3 linked regions of the Caenorhabditis elegans genome follow. The protein of the gene in region 1 purifies or fractionates together with the protein of each later gene. This does not show direct contact. Each region holds a gene or a part of one and is shown in the gene's direction. Other genes may lie near its edges.

Region 1 (6,683 bases):
CCCATCTGGAAGTGGCTTTTATTATGTGCTTAAAAAGAAAATTTAAAAAACAAATAATAATCGTCGTCATTTGTTGCATTGTTTTGTTTTTTTTTCAGATTAAATTTAAATCTGATGAAATTATTATCAGTGTGGATTCCTATAAGTGCGCGCCGGATTCAAGGTGAAAAGTATTACTAGGTTTCAGATAAATATGGATGATGATGAGCAGAAGGGTTACACCTGGGAAGCAGGATATGCAGAAGGTTTGGAAATTTAATTTTAACAATATTTTCAGAAAATGTCTAAAAAAATCAAAAATTAAACAGCGAAAAACGAAAATTAAAGGAGAAAAAATGGTAAAAACATTATTTTTCAAAATATCGGAAAACATTTTAATACCCAAAAAACTAGAATTGAAAAATCTTGTTTTTGCTAAAGAATTTCAATCATTTTCCGTAGCTTTTCGATAAAAAACGTATATTTTATTTAAGGTTAAAATTACATTACTCTTTAAAGGTTCACACATTTTAAAATTTAACAAAAAATTGATGTGTCGAGACTTTGGACTGTATTTTTGACCCAAAAATTACAAAACTTTTGTTTCCGAGTAATATCACCACTTATTCAATAAATTTATGAAATATAAGCCATTATCAGTTAAATTTCAGGCCTGAACATCAATGATGTCCTTGTGGAAGATGAAGGTGGATCTATCGAAAAATCAATTGCCAAATACGTGGCTGATAGCAAACGAAAAGCCCGATTGACGAAGAGACCGGAACGGATTCGCCTCGGAATTGTAACACAATAAAATGAAATCAATTACAAAATTGCAATTCCAAATTAATTTCAGATGCGCCACGTCATGATTGTCATCGATTGCTCACGATTCATGACGAGCAAGGCAATGCCTCCATCGAGATTTGTAGTTGTTATGAAGGTTAGAAAAACGATTTATTTGACATGTATTTGAATGTTTCCAGGCTCTACAAACCTTCCTGGACAGATTCTTCGAGCAAAATCCAATTGCTCAGATTGGATTGATCACTTGTAAAGATCGTAAAGCAGATCGGTTGACAATGATGACAGGTTAGACTCAATATTCGAGATTTTCAATTTTTTTTTCAACGGATTTCAGGAAATATTCGTGTGCTAAAAGAATCGCTGAACACACTAACTGAAGCTTTCTGTGGTGGCGATTTTTCTCTTCAAAACGCTCTTCAATTAGCTTGTGCCAACCTGAAGTAAGTTAAAAATCGTTTTCAGAATATAAAATATTGATTTTTAGAGGAATGCCGGGTCATGTATCACGAGAAGTTGTTCTCGTTATATCAGCACTTTCAACAATTGATCCTGGAAATATTTACAGCACTATTGAGGTTATTTGACTAAAAAAGTAGATTTTTCTAATCTGTAACATTTTCAAGACAATGAAGCGAATGAATATTCGTTGTTCTGCTATTGGACTGTCTGCTGAAATGTTCGTTTGCAAGGAAATGGCTAAAGCAACGAAAGGTGATTTTTATTTTATTCTTTAAAATAAACTTTTCCAAAATAATGATTTACAGGAGAATATTCCGTAGCTCTTGACCCTGACCATCTGCAACTTTTATTCTCAAAGCATACACTCCCACCGTCCTCAGCAAAATCGAGTGAATGCAACGCAATTCATGTTGGATTTCCACACCACGAGCTGATTACAACAAGATCGTTTTGTGTTTGGTGAGGTTTTTTTAAATGAACTTCTTTTAAAGCTAATTTTTGCTAATTCAGTCATCCTGACACGAAGCCAATCTCATCTCGTGGATTCATTTGTACACAGTGCGGAGCACGTCACTGCTCGATTCCAGCTGAATGCCCGGTTTGCAAACTTACACTTGTCGCAGCTCCACAGCTTGCTCGAGCGTTTCGACATCTTCAGCCGCTGTCAGCTTTTGAGCAAATTGAAGTGACACGAGGGTACGTCAGATTTAAGAAAAAAATATATAAGACAATTAAGATATTCAGATTCTGCTACGCATGTGAAACTCGTCTATCTGGTGAAGGTTTTCGCTGTGGTAGTTGCCAGCTTGTGTTTTGTCTCGATTGTGATACTCTTCTTCACGAGTCTCTACACGTATGCCCCGGATGCAACTGATATCTCTTTTTTTAAATTACTCACGTTCTCTCACTTTTCGGACGGGTTTTATTTCATCTTTTTTATAAAAATTCTAAAATAAATCGATCGGCTCCGTAAATCTACATTTCAAGGTGCGTGCCCATCTTCCAGTCGTGGGTCTCGAAACGAAAATTGAACAAGCGGGTATTCGGGCGCCAATTACACTGTTAAAATTAATTTTTATCTTAAATACATAGCTTTCTTCGTTGTTTTTTTGCTTCATTTGGTCAATTTTTGTACAATTTAGATGAACACACCGGTAAAAGCAAAACGGCAAAGGCAGCAAATGCCAGGAACTCCGATACCCATGGGTCGGCAAACGCACAGGGCACATTCCGCCTCTGGTATGTTTTATCAATAAAAGATTTAGCGGAATCTCTAATTCTTTATATTTCAGGTTTCTACACTCCTCACGTCTCAAAATTGAAGACAAACTATGACAGAGAGTTTCAAAAGTTTCTTCGATCTGCCAAAACCGCAATCGATCACTTGGATAGTGAGTTTGAATTTTTTCTGAAATTTTCAATTTATACTTTTGTTTTTCAGAGATTGAAATGCAAATACTTTGCCCGCTGAAAAAGAAGATAAAACGTTTTCACAAGGAATCCAACACTCTCGATGTCTACTTCAGGTCACAAACATATTGGAGATCCTTCTACAAAGAGCTTATGAACCGCAGCGATGATGTCATGGATTGCTTTCGATTCGAGGATCTCCGTGACGTTGCTGCAGTTGTTGAGAGTCATCGATTGCCGGATGTGTTGGTTTCATTTGTCACGCAGCAGTTGATGGAATGGAGAGAATTGTTCAAAGACGTCGAGTGGTAAGCTGTTGTTGATAACGAATATAAATATAATTACTAAATGTTGCAGGATGCGAAAGTTTCGTGAATTGAGCCACAATATGGATTCTTTGAAAACGAAAAGAATTGAGCATGTGCTGCGACAAGACATCATCAGGGAGATTGGTGTAGCCATCGGTAATTTATTTGATTATTTCGACTCGTTATTAATAGTTTTTTTTTTCAGATGTGCACAATCTGAAAATCGATGATTTCAGAAGTCACAGCAATAACACGGAACGGGTCGCGGAAGGAATTGCTCATGCCATTGAAGAGTCCAAGAATAAACAAGATGCTGGGAATCAGTTGAAGCATGTTCCTGTGTTATCCAAGCAGATGAGTGTTCGACGATGGTATCGAGAACACTATGGTGGTTGGTATTAAATTATTCAATTCAATTGACAACAATCGAATCTTAATTTCAGACCCGCAAGCTTTGTCAGATGAATCAGATGAAGAATCCTTGTCTGATGGTGACAATTCGTCTCTTTTTGTTGGCACGGCAGATTCAAGCAGTCGTGACGCTAGTGACATATCGACGGAAGAAGTGGTCACCGAAAACGAATTCGACGAATTCTTCAATTAGTAATTCAACTGTGAATAGTATTAGAATCTCCGGCAGATCTACAATTCATTCGTATTTTAAGCTGTATTTGTTTATTCCCTTTCAAACTGCGATAACGCATGTTTTCATTTTCTATGCACATCATGTTCCATATCAAAATCTGTTTTTTAATCGATTTGATTTCAATAAACTTTTAATATTTTTTCCACTGATTATAACCATTGAGCTGTTTCATAGCTAATAAAGATTATCTATGAATTGAAAATCGGTTTATTACGGTTGGCTTTCTCGAAACTTTAATGATAAATTACTGAGAAGAAGGAAACACTTTGGGTGCTTGATATATGAGTGAGAATAGTTAGTCGTTTAGAAATCACTCCAATTTTCCTGGCATGGCGCCTTTGTGCTCGTAAGTTGCTCGTGCTTGTTTTCTGGCTCCTGGAAGTCTTTTTTCTTCTGTGCACGAATTAGAGAACGTCTGCGAGCCCGCAATATTTTAGGTGGAGTGTCCTGTAAAAAAAACATTATATGAACTTTCTCCAACTCCACCGGATGAAATTTACCTTTTTCGGATATAAAATTGGACAAACTGCCTTCACATGTGATTGTTGGCAAGTTCTACACACAATGTGATGTTTTTCGCAAAAATTGTCTCCGTTTTGGTGGCCAATTTTGAGACATTTGATGCATTTTCCTTGATTTTCCAAACTTTTCTGACGAGAAATTCCGTCTGGGTACGTTCTACACAGTGAAGGGACATGATTCTTGTTGCAAAAATAGCATAATGGGCCTCCTTTTTTCATGATATTCTGAAATTTTGAACCTATTGATTAATTAGTCAAATTTCGCGATTTTTGTGGCACAAATAGGGCAGATACTGCATGTTTGTGTTACGGTAGCTGCGAAATTTAGCTCGTGTTGAGACCGTATTTTTGTGGCAAAAATTGCATAATTTGGTATACGCATACCTTTTTTCTCTCATTTCCACGTAAAGCCTCCTTGTCATTCATTTGTGCATTGTACTTCCACAAATCTCGTTCTCTTTCAAGTTGTTCTAATTCTTCTTTCTCGGCTTGTACTCGATTGGTCAAGTCTTGAATAACCTTTTGAGCGGATGTTTGCATAATTTATGATATTTAATCTGCAACTAATTTAAGGTTGAATAAGGGGATTTAATAATTGAAGTATGAATCGAATCAACGAGGTAGAGGGAAATATTATTATGCAAGTAAAAAGTAAGATTTCATTCGGATTATAAAATTTCGAAAAATTAAGAATTATTTATTCAGTTTTGTCCTTTGAGTGAGAAGTACATCTGAAAAATTAGAATTTTATTTCAGTCAACTATATAGTTTCAAACGGTTACCAGTTAATTTGAAACTTCTTCGTATGTGGGTCACATGCAACATGATGGTGTACGAATCGCAAACATCTGCAGCACTTGACATTCATCTGTTGACGAGCACACTCGAATTTCGACGGGTGAGCCTGTTTGAAGCAAAACACGCACAGGAGAAGCTTCTGTAGACGTGCTCGACGAGATTCGCCTGTTGTGTATTCAGTACATTCATCTGTAGAATGTCTGTTCCCACAGAATTTACAAGTCTCCGACGACACTGGCTTCGATGTTGGTTCTTCGTTGTGATGGATCTCAGTGCTGATATCATCGTTGCTGAAGTTGAAATTGTATTCGCTCTCTATAGCAGTTGGCATTCGGTTTCCCGAGTCCCCAATTTGAATCTGAAATTGCAAACAGGACTACGTATACGTCTAAAGATGGGTTTTTGTCAAACATTAGGTCTCGTCACGCTGACAATGGGTTACTGTAACTCATTTTTATCGTGGCAGGACCCATGTAATGTGACGTTTATTTCAAACCTCACCATCTTTGTAAAAGCTCCCGATGATCTAGCAATTCGTTGGGCATACTTCAGAATTTCTTTTCTTCTCGCTATCTTTCTTCGCTTCAAACTGATCAGCTCTTTATAAAGTGCATCGATAATGACGTTTTCACATAGAGCCATGAGTCACACTAAAAGATTTTTAAATGAGTAATAGTTTTGCCTGAAATATCGTGAGTAAGAAATCAAGAGTTTCAAACAATTGAGGGTTTATTTCAGTAGAAAAGAAAACATTCAGAATTTGCTAGTTAGTGACAGCTCAATCATCAATGACGATAACTTCTGGAAACATCTCCGGGCACAAAATGTTCATGTGTGAGTCGGTTTTACAACGATGACAGTATCGAGGAGCCTTTTCACATTTCCCTCCATCTTGGCACTCCTCTCGGGGCTTTGCACAATCGAGACATTTCTTCTTAGAAATCAAGATGTTTCTGCGGTCGATGTGGCTTTTATAGTACGTGCAAACTATTGAAAGATGCTCATTTCCACAAAATACGCACAATTTCTGGAAAAGTGATTTTTAAAAATTAGGAATTTTTTTAATACTAACCTCGAGTGGAGTTGATGACACTGTCGAATAAGGCGCGTTTTCTTGTTCGAAAATGTAGGGTTACTGATTGGAGAGACAAGATATTTTGGTGACGGCATCGTTCCCGGGATTCCGAATGAATCGTTAGAGACCTGAAAATAGTTAGTTGAATTCTAAGTTAGCTCTGTAAATTCACACCTCCGAATCCATTGTAAACGTAGAAAGCCCGGATGAAACCAGATTTCCGGTCAAAAATGTTGGCCCTGAAATAAAAAAAACAAATTTACGTGATTTACTCATCTGAAACAAGGGTGTCAATGTCTCGTAAAAATTACAAAACCGGGACAGCGGGACGTTCCCGTGAAAACGCTCAATAAACGGGACAAACGGGACTTGACACCCTTGATCTAAAAAAAAATTTTATTCACCTCTCTCATAATCACCAAAGATGATTTGCTCTGAAAATTCGCTACGATGATTGACCTTTTGTTCAGAAATTGGCTCATCTCTAGCCACCTCTTCAATGTTTCTCTCGATAAAGTTTCGAAGAGCATCGAATTTTCGACCAACTCGTACATCTGTTTTCTTTGCTTTGCGTTGCTTCTCTGTATTATCAATTTTTCTCAAGCTGTTTGTATTCTTCTGCAACTGCTCTAATCGGCTGACTGCAAACAGTTCAAGCACCTTCCTTGCACAATAAGAAT
Region 2 (6,833 bases), on another chromosome or scaffold:
TTATTTCTCTCCTATCGCTCTACTTCTCTCGTCGTCATTGTGTTCGTTACCTTCACTTTTCTCTGTCGTGGTCGGTGTCGTGCGGATTTCTTTGCCTGTTCTTCTATCACCCGTGTTGCTCTTTGCTACTCGTTTTCTTCGTCTCGAGCGTCTGCAGAAATGTTTGCCCGACGTGGGGGCATCACCGGAATCAAAGCAGAAGACATGCCGAAGAATCTTCCAAATCTTCCCGATTTACCTACGACATCAGCATCTCAAGCTCCAGCCCCAGCAACCCAGAATGTTAGTTCACCAGCCCGTCGCAATTTGTTTGGAGCACCCAATGACGCTAACCGCACGCTTTTCACAAATTCTCCGGCATCTGGAACCACTTCTGGAACTTCAGGACTCTTCGGAACATCATCAACGACATCTGGAGGTCTCGGCGGTATTGGATCCACACAACAAACTGCCAAATCACCCGTTGCCACAAGATTGGCAGCATTCAAATCAGGAACTTTGGGGGCTGGTAGTCTTTCTGGTAATACTCCAACATCTTTTGCCACACCATCTGCGTTACCAGGAACTAATGCCCCACAGTCATCTTTTCTATCACCGGCAAACAACTTGAATGTGGCTCCAGCAGCTTATCGTCCTCCCTACTCAACATTTGGAGGTTGGTATTCATCAACTTTGTATTAGCTTTTCATATTTCTAGAATTGAGTAGACTTGGTGGGTCAGATCAAAAACCGAATAAAAAAAAAAAAAACTAAACCTAATATTAAATCTTAAAAATAATTAATTTAGATATGTCTAATTAGCTTTAAAACATTGCTTCAAGTATTTTATCGTGAATCTGGAATATAATTGTCTAATTAACGAACTTTGATAATTTTGATGGCTCAATTTTCAGGATCGACCCCATTCGGAGCAGCGTCGACTGGAACAGCCGCGGGATCAACGCTTTTTGGATCGAGTACTGCAAAGCCAGCTACAGGCGGATTTTTTGGTTCCAGCTCAGGGTCTACTCTTGGTGGTCTTGGAGCAACTCAACAACAACAACAGCCTGTTGTTCAGCAGCAACAAGTTATTCAGGTAATTAAATGAATCTTAAGAATATCTGAGCGCTTTTCCAAATAAAATTTTTTCAGCAGTATCACCCATTTGTGAAAGCTGTCGGAGATCCAAAGCTCTTTGGAAATGATAATGATGGAGTTGTTGCTAAGTTGAATCAAGTTGCTGCCGGTTTGGGTGTCGGAAAAGCTCCATACAAAGATGGAAATCAGCTTCTATCGTTTTCAATGGAAGGAAACTTGTTTGAACGATTTGTTGTAAGTTTATTTTATAAATCACTGAAAACTTGCACAGTGTCACGTTTCAGGGAATCGGATACAATCGTATTTCGGAGCGAACCGACGATGAGGGATTTGTAACTTTGGTGCTGCGTCATCCTATTACAAACTTGAACACAGAAGAACGCCGTGACAAAATTCTTGAAATTATCAAAGCTATTCTTGGTGGCGGACCAAATGTAGAAGTTCGATATGCTCCTGGTACTTCGATGAGAACACTTTCTGATGGATGCACAGAAATCTGTATTATCGCCAAAGAAGGCGGATTTGTTGCAGGAGCTATTAAACTTGCTCAAATCCTCAATGATGCTCCAAAAATGACCCAATTAGAATCGCAGTTGCAAGTGGATAAAACAAGGGTTCTTCCTAAAGTTGGAATGTCGAAAGCACAAAGAGATAGATATTTGGAGACAGTTCCTGATGGTTAGTTTACTCGTTATTTTTACTATGTTTATCATTTATTAACAAAGATTTTCGTTTTCCTCCCTCGCATTGTATCAAATTTCATTCATTTCAGGAATCGATGAGCGTATTTGGAGACAAGCAATCAAAGAAAACCCAGCTCCAAACAAACTTCTTCCTGTTCCAGTACGTGGATGGGAAGCATTAAGAGACAGACAGAAGGCTCAAGTTGGCGAGTCGAAACTATTCCACGAGGCAATTAATGCATTGGGAAATCGTGTTGAAGAAGCTAATGTAAGTTGTTATAACTTGATGAAAGTTTACAAATGTCATACATATTTCAGCATGAACATGCAGATGCAGTTGTTAAGATGGAGATTATTCGTAATCGCCATAAAACTCTCTCGTACAGAATTGTTCGTGTTATGCTTGCACAATGGATTGTATCAAGATATTCACGTCAAATTGACACTGATGAGGATGTAATTGAAGCTAAAGCTGATACACTTCTTGCCCAAATGAATCGTCATAATCAAGTGAAGGTGAGAAAAAATTATGATTTAATTTTGTATAAAACAATTAATTTCAGTTTTATGTCGACAAATTCTACGAGATTTTGGAATCAAAACCGGATAAACTTCAAGAATCAATGTGGAAAATGTTTGATATGACAATTGAAGATGAACACTATGCTCGTAGAGTGCTTACCAAATTTGTTAATATTTGCTCTGGCCTTTACGAGTCAACACATCAACAAATCGAAAGTCTTGAAGCTTGTAGAAGGGCTCTAGAAGGATAATTTATTTTTTAGAAAAGATTTTCTGAAAATCTTTTTTTCAGATTTTCTCGTATTAATTTAAAAATTCGCTCATTTCTTTTGTATCATCATTATTTTCTTTCAAACTCTGACAGGTTTCTGGTTATTTCTGTTTCGACCTAAGATGTGTGGCAGAAAATTGTTTTTAAAACTTATACATATTGAGCAAAAAAGCTCGCTTTTTTCTATGTTCGCCTGTCATCACGAGTACATTTTTTCATAAAATATGCCTCATTCTTGGTTGTAACTGTTGATCTGACCTCCTCAAATTGTTAATTGTCTTATTTCACACACTGTTTAATAGATTGAATTAATTCATCTCAAACTTCTATCTAGAATAAATTTGATCTCCATTTTTCTGTTTGAGTTTTGTCAAATAACGGTTGTCTCCCGTTCGAATTTCTGCGATTTTCAAATAATTAGAATCACATAAAAACTATTGCAAAATGTATCTCAGAAAATGGACGATGAAGACAATGATGAAAAGAGACGTCAACGTTCAGATGAAGCTCGTCGAGCCGCGATGAGGCAAAAAATTCAAGATCAGAGAGAAAGAGATCGTCAAATTGCTGCTGACATTGCTAATGTTGACAAAAAAACGACAAAACGCATTGTATTTGAAGATTCGGATGATGGGGATGATCAGGATGAAGAAACAGAAAAAACAGCCGCGAATGGTGAAAAGGTTGGAAGTTTTTCAATTTTTTGAGATAAAAATCTCTTATAACAGCAATTGCCCGATTTCATAAAGTTGTTTGCTGTAAAGACAATACTCGTAAACTAAGTTGGAATAATTCAGAAAACCTCGCGCAGTTCAAAACGTCCAAAACTCTTCGATTCTGAAGATGAAAACGATAAAGATGAGGAGGAAGATTTTGAAATCAAAAATAGACACTCTGGTCCTAAAGGTATTGTCTAAAATTAAAATAAATTAAACCAAAACTATTTTTCAATTTTTAGGCGAAAAGCTGATGCACCTAGAATCACGTTTCAATAGTGATCCCCGATTCAAATTGGACGACAAGTTTGCAGAAAGTGATTCTGATGAAGATGGAAATATGGAGCAGAGCTCGGAAAAGCAAGAAATGAAATTAGAAAAAGATAAAAATCGAGAACTTTTGTCTAAAATTCTAGGAAAAAGTGTCGAAGAGAAAAAACCAAATACTATAGAGTCTTCAACACTTAAAGCTCGACCATTCACTCGTTTCGATCCTGAAAATCCTGAGCATTTGGAATGGATGAAAGCTTTTGAAGCTTCGAAAAATCCACAAAAAGTCAAGAAAACTGAAGAAAGTACAAATTCGGACGAAGATGGGAATGGAAGTGACGAAGGAGACGAAGATTCAACTGAAAAGAAAAAGGAAGAAGTCGTTGAAAAAGACGAGGAAAGCGGTGATGAGAGCTTTGAGAAAGCTGAAATCTTTTTCAAAATGGATGACGCGTTTTCAGCTGAAGTGAGTTTTCAACAAAAAAAAACATTTTTCACACAAAAATTATTTTCAGATGAAAGAACGAAAAGATGGTGATGATCCGTCAACTGGAGGTTTCTCTTTTTTATCAATGATTGGAAGAAAATATGATGACGAAGCAGTTGAAGATGATGGAGAAAATTTAAAGAAAATAGAACCAACACAAAGTAAAGCCGAACCGTCTGGAAATGTTGACAAAATCGAAAAATCTCTACTCAAAGTGAAAGTTAGCACAAAGTTTTTCGTCGATCCTCTGTCGGATGAAAAAATCAAAAGTTTAGCGGCTAATTTCAGAAGAACTCAAACAGTGGAGAAAGTTATTGATAAATGGGCACCTCATCGAGATGCTATTTTCAAGGTGAGTAGTTTTTTTTTTGAGCCTGACCGACTATTGAGCTCTGTTTTATTATTTCAAGCGAGTCTTAATACAAAAAAGATTTCAAATTGTTTTGATTCAGAAAGTTATACCAATTTCCAGTATGATCAAATAAGTCCACCATCTTAATAAATAACAAAATTTTCCCTAACTGTCTGATTCTCGTTACGCATACACAATCTCATTCTCAATCTTTTTGCGGAAAAGTGTCATTATTAATCGATTTTTCTTTCTTCTTCCAATATAAATTATTCATACATTTTTTAGCTCTGGAAGAAACAACGTCGTGATGCAGTAAAAAAGCAGAAAGATTCATTTTTCACAAATGGAAAACGAAAACGGAAAGCTGATACAGGAAACGAAGATGCTCCTGAGACTGCGTGAAATGTTCAAGATCTAATAGTTATTCAATTGTTCGTTGTTGTTTTTGTTGATTTTCAAATGTTTGTTATAGTAAATACATATTTTCAAATGTTTTGATTTTTTTGAAAACTTACTCTGGTTTAATTTCCGATGAGAATACCTTTTACATTTTTTATGATAATTTTTGTTAAACTATCATAATATTTCAGAATTCTTCAGCGTAATGTCATTTTCGGATGTTTTGGATGCAAAACCAAAAGAGCCAAAGCTCTATCGATTGCTTGGGTGTGATGAAAGCTCTTCGGTAGGTTAAACTTTAAAATAATATTTTCATAATTTAAGTTATATTCAGATAGATCAAATAACTGCCGAATATCGGGCACGGGTTCGCGACTGCCATCCGGATAAAGTGAAGGAGCACAACACGAATTCGACTGAAAAATTCATGGAGCTACAGGGAAGTTTAATAAAATAAATTAATATCAATAAAACGCACAATAATTGTTGTTACCTCTTCAGAATGCATATTCTATTTTAACGAGTGATTCTCGTCGAAAAACTTACGATTCGTGGCTTCATTCCCCGTTTCCAGTTTCTTTTGAAGACTTCACAAAGTCTCAGGACACTTTTCAGATGGTAATTTTGGCTCCGATATGTGTTTTTGAGTTTTTTTGGTTCGGTCCTTGTGCTTTTTTGTTGAAACTTTTAATTCTATTTAAAAGAAAATAAAAAATTTCAGTCAACTCACTGGGCAGTTCCAAAATCTCAACCATCTATTGCAGCCAATCAACCAGAAAAGTTGTCTCAAAATTTTAAATCTGAAAAATCTGAAAAATCACGCTGGTCCGACGGTGATCGATATCAATCATCGATTGCCTCGGCTTTTAGAAATTATAAAGTTTAAACCTGAAATTTTTTGCCAAATTTAACACTCCAAAATAATATGAATATTTTCAAAACAATATTTGTATTTTATTCATTTATATCAATTCTTAATAAATGTTTATTGAATACTTCACCTCTACGTCTTTGTTCATATTTGTACCGTATAACTCGGTTTGATATTGTTTTTACGCTCATAATGAGTTTTCAAATTTGAATTTTAGACCTTTTTACTTGCCAGACGATTCTACAAGTTTTGTATGAACGGTGAGTTTCAGATTTCGATGGCTGACACAGCTCAATACGGTATAATTTTCAGTCTACTCGTTTGACGGTCTTGTCGTTGCTGCTCTATTATTCATCTGCACCTGTGCTTATTTGAAACGAGTTCCACGTGTTAGTAGCTGGCTGTTGTCTGAGAAGAAGGGATTCTTCGGAGTTTTTTATAAGGTAAAGATCAGGGCTAAATCCGAAAAAATAACTTTAAAAAAGGCCTTCGAAAAACTAAAACTTTTGCAAGTTAGAAACGTTATTATTTAATATTAGAATAAAAGCAAAAATATTTTAATTCCGTTCTAGTAGAGTGTGATTTTAAAAATTGATGATTGTTTCAGTTAGCGGGTTGACTAACATAGCTTTTTTTTTTTACATTTTTCGTCGTTTTCGCTCACTTTATTTTTGAAAATAGCAAAAAATAACATTTTCGTGAAAACAGTCTACTTTTGACTGTTTGTTTTCAAAATGTATGTGTTTGTCATATTTATATGACGATGAATGAGAAAAATGCTTATTTTCCCTGTAAATATTTCACTTGGAATAATTAGTGTCAAGATTTTATATTTGCTTTCAGGCTGCTGTAATTGGTGTCCGACTTCATTCTCTCGTTGCTCTTTCGTGTCTCTCTGCCGCCGTCTACGTTCTTTTCGTTCGCTAAAAACAATGGTTCAAGGAAAGCTCAAGCAAAAGACAGCCTTGCCAAAAGGTGTCAAACAAAAGGTTAAGAAGGCCAAGAATCCAGGACAACCAAAGAAGGGAAAATTCTTGCACATTGCTCCTAAGAAGGCTCATATCATTGAAGCAGTAAGTTTTTCTTGTGATCATTATCTTCATTTTATTTGTCATTTTCAGGAAAAAGTTGCTGCCCATGTCACCAAAGTCATCAACGACAAAAACGAGGAGATGGTGAAAGGCA
Region 3 (8,496 bases), 4.6 Mb from region 1:
AGGGCGGAGAGAAATCACTTGGCTTTTCCTTTATGTGACGTCACATCCAGCTGTAAAAGCCTACAGAAAATGGTGTGTGACGTCATTCTACCAAATAATTAGCCCTTTATATATTCAAGTGTCAACTTACCCAGCTCATGTACTCTCCGAGGATTCTAAGAGCTATGGGCAAAAATATCTGATTTTGAACTATTTTTCACAATTCTTTTTATTTTTTGCATTCAAATTATCAGTGTTTTTGTGTATTTACAGTTTGAAAAAATATGTATTTATTTCTTAAAGCCTACAAATTCTTGTTTTATCTAGAATTCAACAGCAACTACAAAGAGTTTTACCTACTTTTGAATAGTAAATTAAAACATCATTTCCAAAAAAAATGTTGAAATGTTGTAGTTATAGGAAAACCGAAAATTGAAACTCTAAAAATGTGAAATTCATAAAAAAAAGTTAACTATCAAAAATAGGAAGTGAAAATGTTTTAAAGAGAATTTTTAATTACAATTGTTTTTGTGTTGATCGTTTTGGTTTTTGCTCTTTTTTAAAAAAAATCCATAAAGCATTTTGACTGAGAAGCAAAGAAAAACTATTACAAGCTCTAAAAATTTATAATCGAAAAAAGCATATGACGACACGAGATCAATAAAACAATATACTATTCTTCCCAACAACTAATCAAAAACAATATTTTCAGATGACGGGGGTGGTGGAAGAAGGCCAATGAGCAAAAGTGACCAATCAATGCGTAGAGATGTCCTCCACAACTTGATGTAGAGTAAGATGTCAGCTGACGGATAAGAAGAGGCCGTTCCCGTCTGGAGAAGCCTACCTGCCTTCTTGCTCATCACTCATGTGAAGAGGAAGAAGGGATAAGGTCAACTTTGTGAACAATTGGTTTTTATTTAGTGGATAAGGGTGAGAGGGAAAACAATTATGATTGGTTATGACAATGATCTGGTAAAATTAATGACTCTCAAATTTGTATCCAACTTTTTTTAGAAACATTCAAAATTGAATTTTCTTTCAAATTTTCCTGAAAAAATTATTATAGGTAGGCAGAAAAATTCATTTTTCAAGTCAACGTGAAAACGCGCTCCATTGTCAATTGAAAAAGCCCCGCCTCAGAACGATGGGTCTCGTAAGGTATTTGGCGCCAAAACTGCAAATTCATGTTTTCAATTAGTTTCATCCGTTTCGCATCAATTAATTTTGAACTACAGCCAACATTTCTTGAAAAATTGAAACTTGAACGGCCCGATACCTTTTTTCAATTTTGAATCAACTCAGAAAAATTCCCTTGGTATGTTTTTTTTTTAATTTTTGTGGACATTTCGTATGAAAACAGCAAAGATTTATTTTTGTATAAAATTCACAATTTAAAAAATATTTTCAAGACAAAATTTAAAATGCAATATATTTTTCAGCAAAGGGTTAGTATATACAGCTATAATCAGATTATTGGCATTGCTCTAGAAGTGAAGAATCCACGCATTTGGCAGCACTTGCAGAGAAAACAGCATTCGAATCAGCACATTCGTGTGGGATGAGCTGGCCGTTGGAGCATTTGTGGTAGTTACGGGAGCATAAAGTACTTGAGAAGAGCCCGTCGATGGAGCAGTCGTATGTTCCAATGGAGGCATCACGAATGAGCAATGCGTCTGAAAAATCGTTTTATTCAATTGTAATTTGGAATCACTATTACCTTCCATGCAGCATTTCAGAGAAGTCTCCGGGTAGTCACATATCAAAGAATTCTCATTGAAAACCAGACTCGGTGGGCACTCAAAAATATTCTCTCGTCCATTTTGACACGATAGAACTCGCGGGGTACAATCGAGAGCATAGAGACCATTGTCCATATTTGTGCAGGGCGTTAAGGCTTCACTGGCTTTGTAGTTTTCCATAAATCCAGATGATTCCAAGTCACACTCGTCAACGTTCCATTCATAGTCACACATTTGATTTTTCTCGGAAAACATTAGCCCATCTGGACAAAACATGACAATTGGAATGCCATTTGTACAGGCTGAAAATGATGAAGAGCATCTGCCAAATGAGAAATATCCGTCGACTTCGCCGCAGTTTTGTGGCTTTTCAGATTTTTCAGAACAATCCATCACATTTTTTGGCCAATCACAAGAGGAAATCGCTGGATTGAAGACAAGATTCGCCGGGCAATTTCTACGGTGAGCGATGCCTTCAGAACACGAGAAGAAAACATTGGAGCACTCGGACTTTGAGATATTTCCATCGGATTCACAATATTCTCCTGATACTTGAGAACATTCATCAATCATTCCTTTCCATGAACACTTTTTATTGGTTGGATCGTAGATAAGAGGTGTTGAGCAGCTGAGGAATCGAGGTGAGCCGGAGTTGCAAATAATATAGGAGCTACTGCAAGTGCCGGAGGAGTAGACGCCATCTTTGAGACTCTCGCACACTGAAAAATATTAGTGGAGAGGATTTGTCAGAAAATGCAATTTTTGGGCATAATTATTTTCACTTTTTCATACAATATTCTGAAACTTACAACACAATCTTTAAATATTTCTCTAGAGCAACATTTGGACTTTTTGTATAATAATTATTTTGAAAGTTTTCTGCATACTGAAGTAGTTTTCTAAGTCTATTTTATGAAAAATGTACCATTTTCTAGCAGCTCGTCGCCAGAAGATTCTCCCGACGAATCGCCAAATGTGATTTCTTCGTCTCCTGAGCTTTCACCGGAACCATCACCAGAAAACTCGTTTTCTTCTCCTTCCTCTCCACATTCAAACACATTGTGCCTCCAATCACAAAACTCCAGATTTTTGTGATAAACCAGATCCTCCGGGCAGTCCATATATCGAGCCTCGCCGCTGACGCAAGCTAGGAATCTCGGTTCACAGGCACCCAGAGGGTACATTCCGTCTCCAACATTCGTGCAATCTGAAATAAAATTTGATGTATATCGTTTTCAAAGCCCGACGACAACTACCTGTGACAAATTTCGAGTTTACAGTTGATATCGTGAGAAGTAGAGTCGTTAGACAAGGCAATAATCTCATTTTGCTGAAAACACGATATTTAATTAGAGAAAACAAATGATTTCAAAGAAAATTGTTAATTGATAAAAGAAAAACTGAAAACCTTGAAGAACATATTTCAAAATTGAAGAAAAAAACCAATTTCGCAAACTATAGTCAAAGCAGCAGCTCAAAGTTTTTGTCCACGGTCTCGAAGCGATTGGCTACTGTAATTTTTCAAATGATTTTTTTTTTCGCTGTTTGTGTCGAAACTTCTTATATTCTCTAAGAAACTGAAATAATTTTTGTTCATTGACTTTTATATTATACATTTTACATATGATTTTGTCATAAATCTTTCTGCCGTCTATACTCCTAATATTGTTTTCTAAAAAACTCATTTAAACCTCCGCCAAAAAAAAGTGCGACAGAGCACCTTTGCAATTTTCACTTTTTAGCCAATTTTTTCCGTGATTTTCTTCAAATAAAACCAAATTTTTGAATTTTATTCTGTTTTCCTATGATCAAATACAAACGTAAGTATTAAAATATTCTTTTTAGATGGCTGATGGACCAGATAAAAAACGCAGAAAGCTGACAAGTGCTCTCAAAGACGCAATCGGAGCGCACTCGCAAAAACCTGAGGAAAACATAGAAAAACCAATTGCTCTCGCACTTATTAGTAATTTTTTAACGCTTTGAAACATATAAAGTATTAATCTTCAGGCGACAACAAGGCCGCGCAAGACCTTCTCAACAAAATTCAAGCCAGTCGGCGCCCGCAAGCGATTTTGGAGGCAACTTTGAAGATCTGTAAGGAGAAGGTACTGAAAATAGTGATAGAGATGAAATAATAAATTAGTTTAATTCAGAAATCCGAAGCGCACGTTGATGAAGCGTTTCTTTCAATTTTCCGCAAACATTTCTCGATTCTCGGTGTGGATTCTGCCTTGGCATGCTGGAAATTGATCGAAGAACATCTCAATTCTTCAGAATCAATGTAATTTAAAAATTTCTGAATTTGAAATTGCAAAATGTAATTTTTAGAAACGAAATCAGAATTGCTAACGAGTTCATCAGTACCTCTAATCTTCTTGGCCATGGTTTCGGAAAACTTCTGCAAAACATGAAGCAAGGAATTCCTGTGGTAATTCAGAATACGTGGAGACAAGAACGTAAAGGTAACTATATAAATATTAAGAACTTAAATTCAATTTAAAAATTTCAGCGGACGCCTTAGCTCTTGCCTATCCCTTCCTAAGCCTCCTCCTAGCTGATCAGGTATATGGAGACCATCAAAATCTTGAATCTTTGGCAGAATTCTGGAAAAATCAAGTTTTACCGGAGAAATCCATGAAAAAAGATTTTGGAATGAGAATGGTCAGTGCTTTAGCCGGCGGTGAGCCTGGACAGTTGCCAGAAACGAAAATCGACGAGAATCAACTTGAAATGGTGAGAAATATCTTGTTTTATTTAAAAGTTTTATTTTAATTTTCAGCTCTCAAAGATCTACGAAAATCATCTGGAATTCTACACTGGAATTCTCTCAGAATCCACGTGCTCTCAGCTTCTTGCCAAAGTAATTGAGGATAATTTAGCCAAAAATGAGGTAAAAATTTGAAATTTTCAGACGATTTTATTTTTTAAAATTTCAGCTAAAGCAACTTGCCCGTCGATGCCAAACTGCTGAAGTATGCATGTCCCCGTGCATTTACTACGCGATGATTTCAGTTTTACGGAGCACTTTTGACCTCAACGATTCGGAGCTCATTTTCATCGAAAACTTGAAAACGTTGAAGTATGGTGAAAGTTTGATAGAAAATTATATAATTTTCATTGAAAAATAGCGAAAAATCAGTTGAAACCAATCAATTAATCTCGATTTTAAATTAAAAATCAGTCTGGATTTTTTTAAATTAACCTTTATTTTTTTTTTCAGACTAAAAGAAATCACAAAGCATCTCCCTTCAATCATCAATTCCTGCTCCAACACTCGCCAAATTACCGCTAGCAAGAAGCTTAAAAATCTCGAAAATCTTCAGGATTTCCTTCACAATGTCACAGAAAAACCGGAAAACGACAATTTCTCGGCTGCTTTTGCCCTTCTTTCAATCAATATTTCACTAATCTTCGATAACTGGAACTTTTGCGAGAAAATCCTGAAAACTCTACCGAAGGACGTTCTGGAAAAGCTGATAAAAGCAGGAAAGGGATCTGAAAATGAGAATATTTTGAAGGTTTTCAAGAAAGTGGCTCAGGAAGCTGCTCCAGTCAAATTTGTGAATAGAACCGCCGCGGATGTCGCTGAGAAGCTCCGAGAGCCGGAATTTGCAGTGGCAGAAGCCTTAAGCTTGCTCCAAGGAGTTCATACAGCGGAGACGAAAAAGGAAGTCTTTGGTAATCATTTTTAATTACAACTATTAAAAAAAATAATTTCTTTTACCCAAGTTTTTTGCAGATTCTGTTGTAAAATTCGTCGAAGAGATTCCTGGAGCCGAGAGCATTGACGAGATGAAGCTTTTCAAGTTGATAATTGAAATGTATGGTGGAAGTCAACTGGAATCATTAGCTGTTCAAGTAGTGTTTTCACGAATTGCTGCCGACGGTTGGACTGAAATGGATCGGGCTCCGGGAACCGAGAAATCTGATGAATCATGGTTTACAGTACTTGTGGAGACGATTGATCTGCTTGATATAGCAATGAAATCGGCGAAGAATTCAGTGCTAAAATCATTCACTGCACTTTTCTGTCAACTTTTTAGCCAAGTTTTGAAGAATTCTCAAAAATTCGTGAGGAATAGTCTGAACGCGGTCGCGTCGCGTACACTTTCGCCTGAAATGGAAACTGAATTTGTGCTCCGCCGTCATAAATTGAGTCAGGATTTGGCAAGATTAGTAGATGCAATGAAGAGGAATGAATCGTATTTTGCAATGGTAAGATTTTGAACATTTTAGAAAAAATTTAATATTCTTGAAAACTCGAAATAAATAAAAAATCAAAAACTGGGAGTTTTTCGATGGTTAAACTATTTTTGAAAAAAATTTTTAAAAAAGTATTTTAATTTGAAAAATTGTTTTTTGAACATCGTCCATTTGTCGATAATTAAAAAAATTTATACGAATTTTAATATTAAAAAAATCGTGAACACTATTTTTTGAGTCGTTTGTCTAATGGGGTTATTCAAGTAATGTAGCAAAATGCATTTAAATACATTTGTGACGTCACAAATGTATTTAAATACATGTTTTTATCTACTTGAATAAGGTTGTGACGTAATTTTTCTACACTTTTTAATTTTCCGACACTACTTGAATAACCCCATAACAAATTACATAAATTTTTTTCTAGTTTTTAAATATTGAAAAAAAAGAAGAAAAATTGTAGAAGTTGGAGAAGAGTTTTAAAAAACATTTAAAATTAAAGTTCTTTTTTGAAAACCCATTTTAAAACGTTTTATCTTTTTTTTCAGGATTGTCAAATTGATAAAAATGAGAACTAGTATTTCTTGAGAAATTTCCCTTTTTTTTAAAGAAGAAAATAGACATTTTAATTTTAAATAATCTGTAATAATCACTATTTCTTCTCGAACTCGATTTTTTTTAAAAATTCTGTCAACTTATTAATTTTCGAAATTAGGGGGAGCTTGTTGAGTATGTTTTGGTAAAAGTTACCAAGAAAAACGACTAAATTGAAATTTTAAAAAAACCTTCAATTATTCTCAAAAACGGTCTAAATTTTTATTCTTCAGCTGACTGCATCAATCATTGGAGACGCAGTATTCTATGGATCAGACAGTCTACTTGCCATGTCAAAACTACATTCACTGGCCGATAAAAATGCATCCGCGTTGCTCGCCACGAATCTTCCAGTTGTTGAGAGAACCCGATACAAGAAGTTCCTTTCTACGATCACGAGGGCTTCGAAGCGAATTTATTAATTGTTTTTTTTGTTATAATATCCATTTTTATGTTGTTGATTGTTCATCTTGTTCTGTTGATTTTTAAGTGTTCAATTAAAAAATTTATTCCAAAAAAACACAAAAGAGTTCAAAAAAGTCAATAGAATCCGCATCCATAACCACCATATCCTCCATACCCGAAATCAAAACCTCCGTATCCATATCCTCCATAAAATCCATTATAATATGGGTCGAACATAACACCACCTCCATAATATGGATAAGGGCTCATGATCACTGGCGGCGGAGCCATGACAACTGGAGCCACCGGAGCAGCACCCATGACCATTGGTTGGGATCCATAGACCACGGGAGCAGCTTGTTGTTGTTGAGGGTAAGCTTGAGCAGGTGCAGCCGGAGTTGCCTGGGGAGCTGCCTGAGGAGCTGGTGTAGGTGCCGGGACTGGGGCTCGCGGAGCAGACTTTCTCTTCTCCACTTCCTTTTCAACCTCTTTCTCCGTTTGGTCGATGCAAGTAAAAAGCTCTGGATCTTCAGGCGTTGGTGATGGCTCCGCAACTCTCTCCGGTGGTTCTGCAATCGTTACTCTCCTATTTTTGGGCTCCACGACTTTCTCAGGAGCTTTCGGTGCTGCTGGAGGTGCGTAGGCCGGTGGAGGTCCCTGTGGGATCCCTTGAGGCTGCTGTCGAGGGTATGCCTGAAAAATCGATATTTTCTTTTATTGATTTTCGGAAAATTATCGATTTTCCCTACCATTTGCTCTGTCGAGGCGTTTGGAGATGGTTGAGTGTGCTGACGATTCTGAAAAGTTGAGGTACAAGGAGGAGTTCTTGAGCTTGACTTCAAGGCGACCTTCGTCTGCCTTGTGTCTATTCAGTTTTTTTTATGGAACCCGGAACAGGGATTATAGGCAGGCACGGTCACCTCATATGAAACTTGGAGACTTACCATTTGGTCCGAGCGTTGGTTGTTCCGTTGATTATTTCTAGCTTTCTTCGATTGACAGCATCCCATTTTTCATCGATATATTTGAGTTCTTTTGATTATAAAGTAAGTTGGGAATAAAATTTTTTAGCGGCAAGTTTGAACATTTGAAAAATAAATCATTTCCAAAAAAATAACTGCAAGGCGTTCACGCAGAAATGGAAGCGGCCGACACTTTCCTTTTTCTAATGCCAGCAGTCGACACTTCCCGTGGATAAATTTTGGTGGATCAATTTGCCAGTTTCGGACCGATTAACTAATTTTTAGAAAACAATCTCAGACTATTTTTATTGCAAAAAAAGGATCAATTATCAATTATTTCTTATCGGAAATATTTTCAAGTCACTTCATCTTCTTCTTACTTTTCATTTGACATCTCGATTAAAACATAAACGGATCACAATAGAATGGATCACCGTAGTACATTCCACCTCCATAACATGGATAAGGATCCACAATGACCACTGGCGGAGGAGCAGCCACTACGACTTGCTGTTGCGGTGGATAGTATGGCTGTTGAGCCCCATACGCAGGAGGCGGTTGTGGCTGGTACGGGAGACCTGGAGACGGTTGTTGACGTTGAGGTTGTG

What was found.
Region 2: the proteins of hal-2 (region 1) and K07F5.14 purify together in Caenorhabditis elegans (affinity purification with mass spectrometry, with the first as the bait; one study listed by BioGRID). This does not show direct contact.
Region 3: the proteins of hal-2 (region 1) and R02F2.7 purify together in Caenorhabditis elegans (affinity purification with mass spectrometry, with the first as the bait; one study listed by BioGRID). This does not show direct contact.

What each region holds. Positions count from the first base shown.
Region 1 is NC_003281.10:10,084,290-10,090,972, reverse strand, and holds hal-2 (Coiled-coil domain-containing protein), read left to right. Parts: upstream 1-2,119; 5' UTR 2,120-2,232; intron 2,233-2,387; coding exon 2,388-2,484; intron 2,485-2,537; coding exon 2,538-2,636; intron 2,637-2,686; coding exon 2,687-2,963; intron 2,964-3,012; coding exon 3,013-3,119; intron 3,120-3,168; coding exon 3,169-3,354; intron 3,355-3,406; coding exon 3,407-3,567; 3' UTR 3,568-3,785; downstream 3,786-6,683. Other genes in the region: gtf-2H2C (General transcription factor IIH subunit 2), read left to right, coding at 194-245, 651-781, 836-922, 966-1,071, 1,121-1,226, 1,271-1,361, 1,410-1,497, 1,551-1,704 and 2 more; T16H12.2 (uncharacterized protein), read right to left, coding at 3,913-4,056, 4,110-4,355, 4,515-4,670; T16H12.13 (uncharacterized protein), read right to left, coding at 4,909-5,286, 5,430-5,570.
Region 2 is NC_003282.8:9,859,213-9,866,045, forward strand, and holds K07F5.14 (NUC153 domain-containing protein), read left to right. Parts: upstream 1-3,008; 5' UTR 3,009-3,011; coding exon 3,012-3,236; intron 3,237-3,350; coding exon 3,351-3,459; intron 3,460-3,511; coding exon 3,512-4,005; intron 4,006-4,054; coding exon 4,055-4,378; intron 4,379-4,663; coding exon 4,664-4,780; 3' UTR 4,781-4,855; downstream 4,856-6,833. Other genes in the region: npp-1 (Nucleoporin Nup54 alpha-helical domain-containing protein), read left to right, coding at 386-655, 894-1,075, 1,132-1,311, 1,362-1,755, 1,850-2,028, 2,079-2,276, 2,324-2,533; K07F5.16 (J domain-containing protein), read left to right, coding at 4,983-5,063, 5,112-5,213, 5,276-5,395, 5,499-5,663; K07F5.22 (Protein kish), read left to right, coding at 5,902-5,908, 5,961-6,091, 6,492-6,575; K07F5.15 (Leydig cell tumor 10 kDa protein homolog), read left to right, coding at 6,581-6,721, 6,770-6,833.
Region 3 is NC_003281.10:5,478,844-5,487,339, reverse strand, and holds R02F2.7 (Myb-binding protein 1A-like protein), read left to right. Parts: upstream 1-3,566; coding exon 3,567-3,687; intron 3,688-3,731; coding exon 3,732-3,829; intron 3,830-3,877; coding exon 3,878-4,005; intron 4,006-4,052; coding exon 4,053-4,186; intron 4,187-4,233; coding exon 4,234-4,457; intron 4,458-4,503; coding exon 4,504-4,614; intron 4,615-4,660; coding exon 4,661-4,803; intron 4,804-4,944; coding exon 4,945-5,402; intron 5,403-5,463; coding exon 5,464-5,939; intron 5,940-6,754; coding exon 6,755-6,943; 3' UTR 6,944-7,037; downstream 7,038-8,496. Other genes in the region: R02F2.4 (Chitin-binding type-2 domain-containing protein), read right to left, coding at 1,453-1,655, 1,700-2,440, 2,647-2,928, 2,978-3,047; R02F2.5 (Prion-like-(Q/N-rich)-domain-bearing protein), read right to left, coding at 7,062-7,619, 7,676-7,723, 7,871-7,936; R02F2.6 (uncharacterized protein), read left to right, coding at 8,416-8,496; R02F2.10 (Prion-like-(Q/N-rich)-domain-bearing protein), read right to left, coding at 8,288-8,496.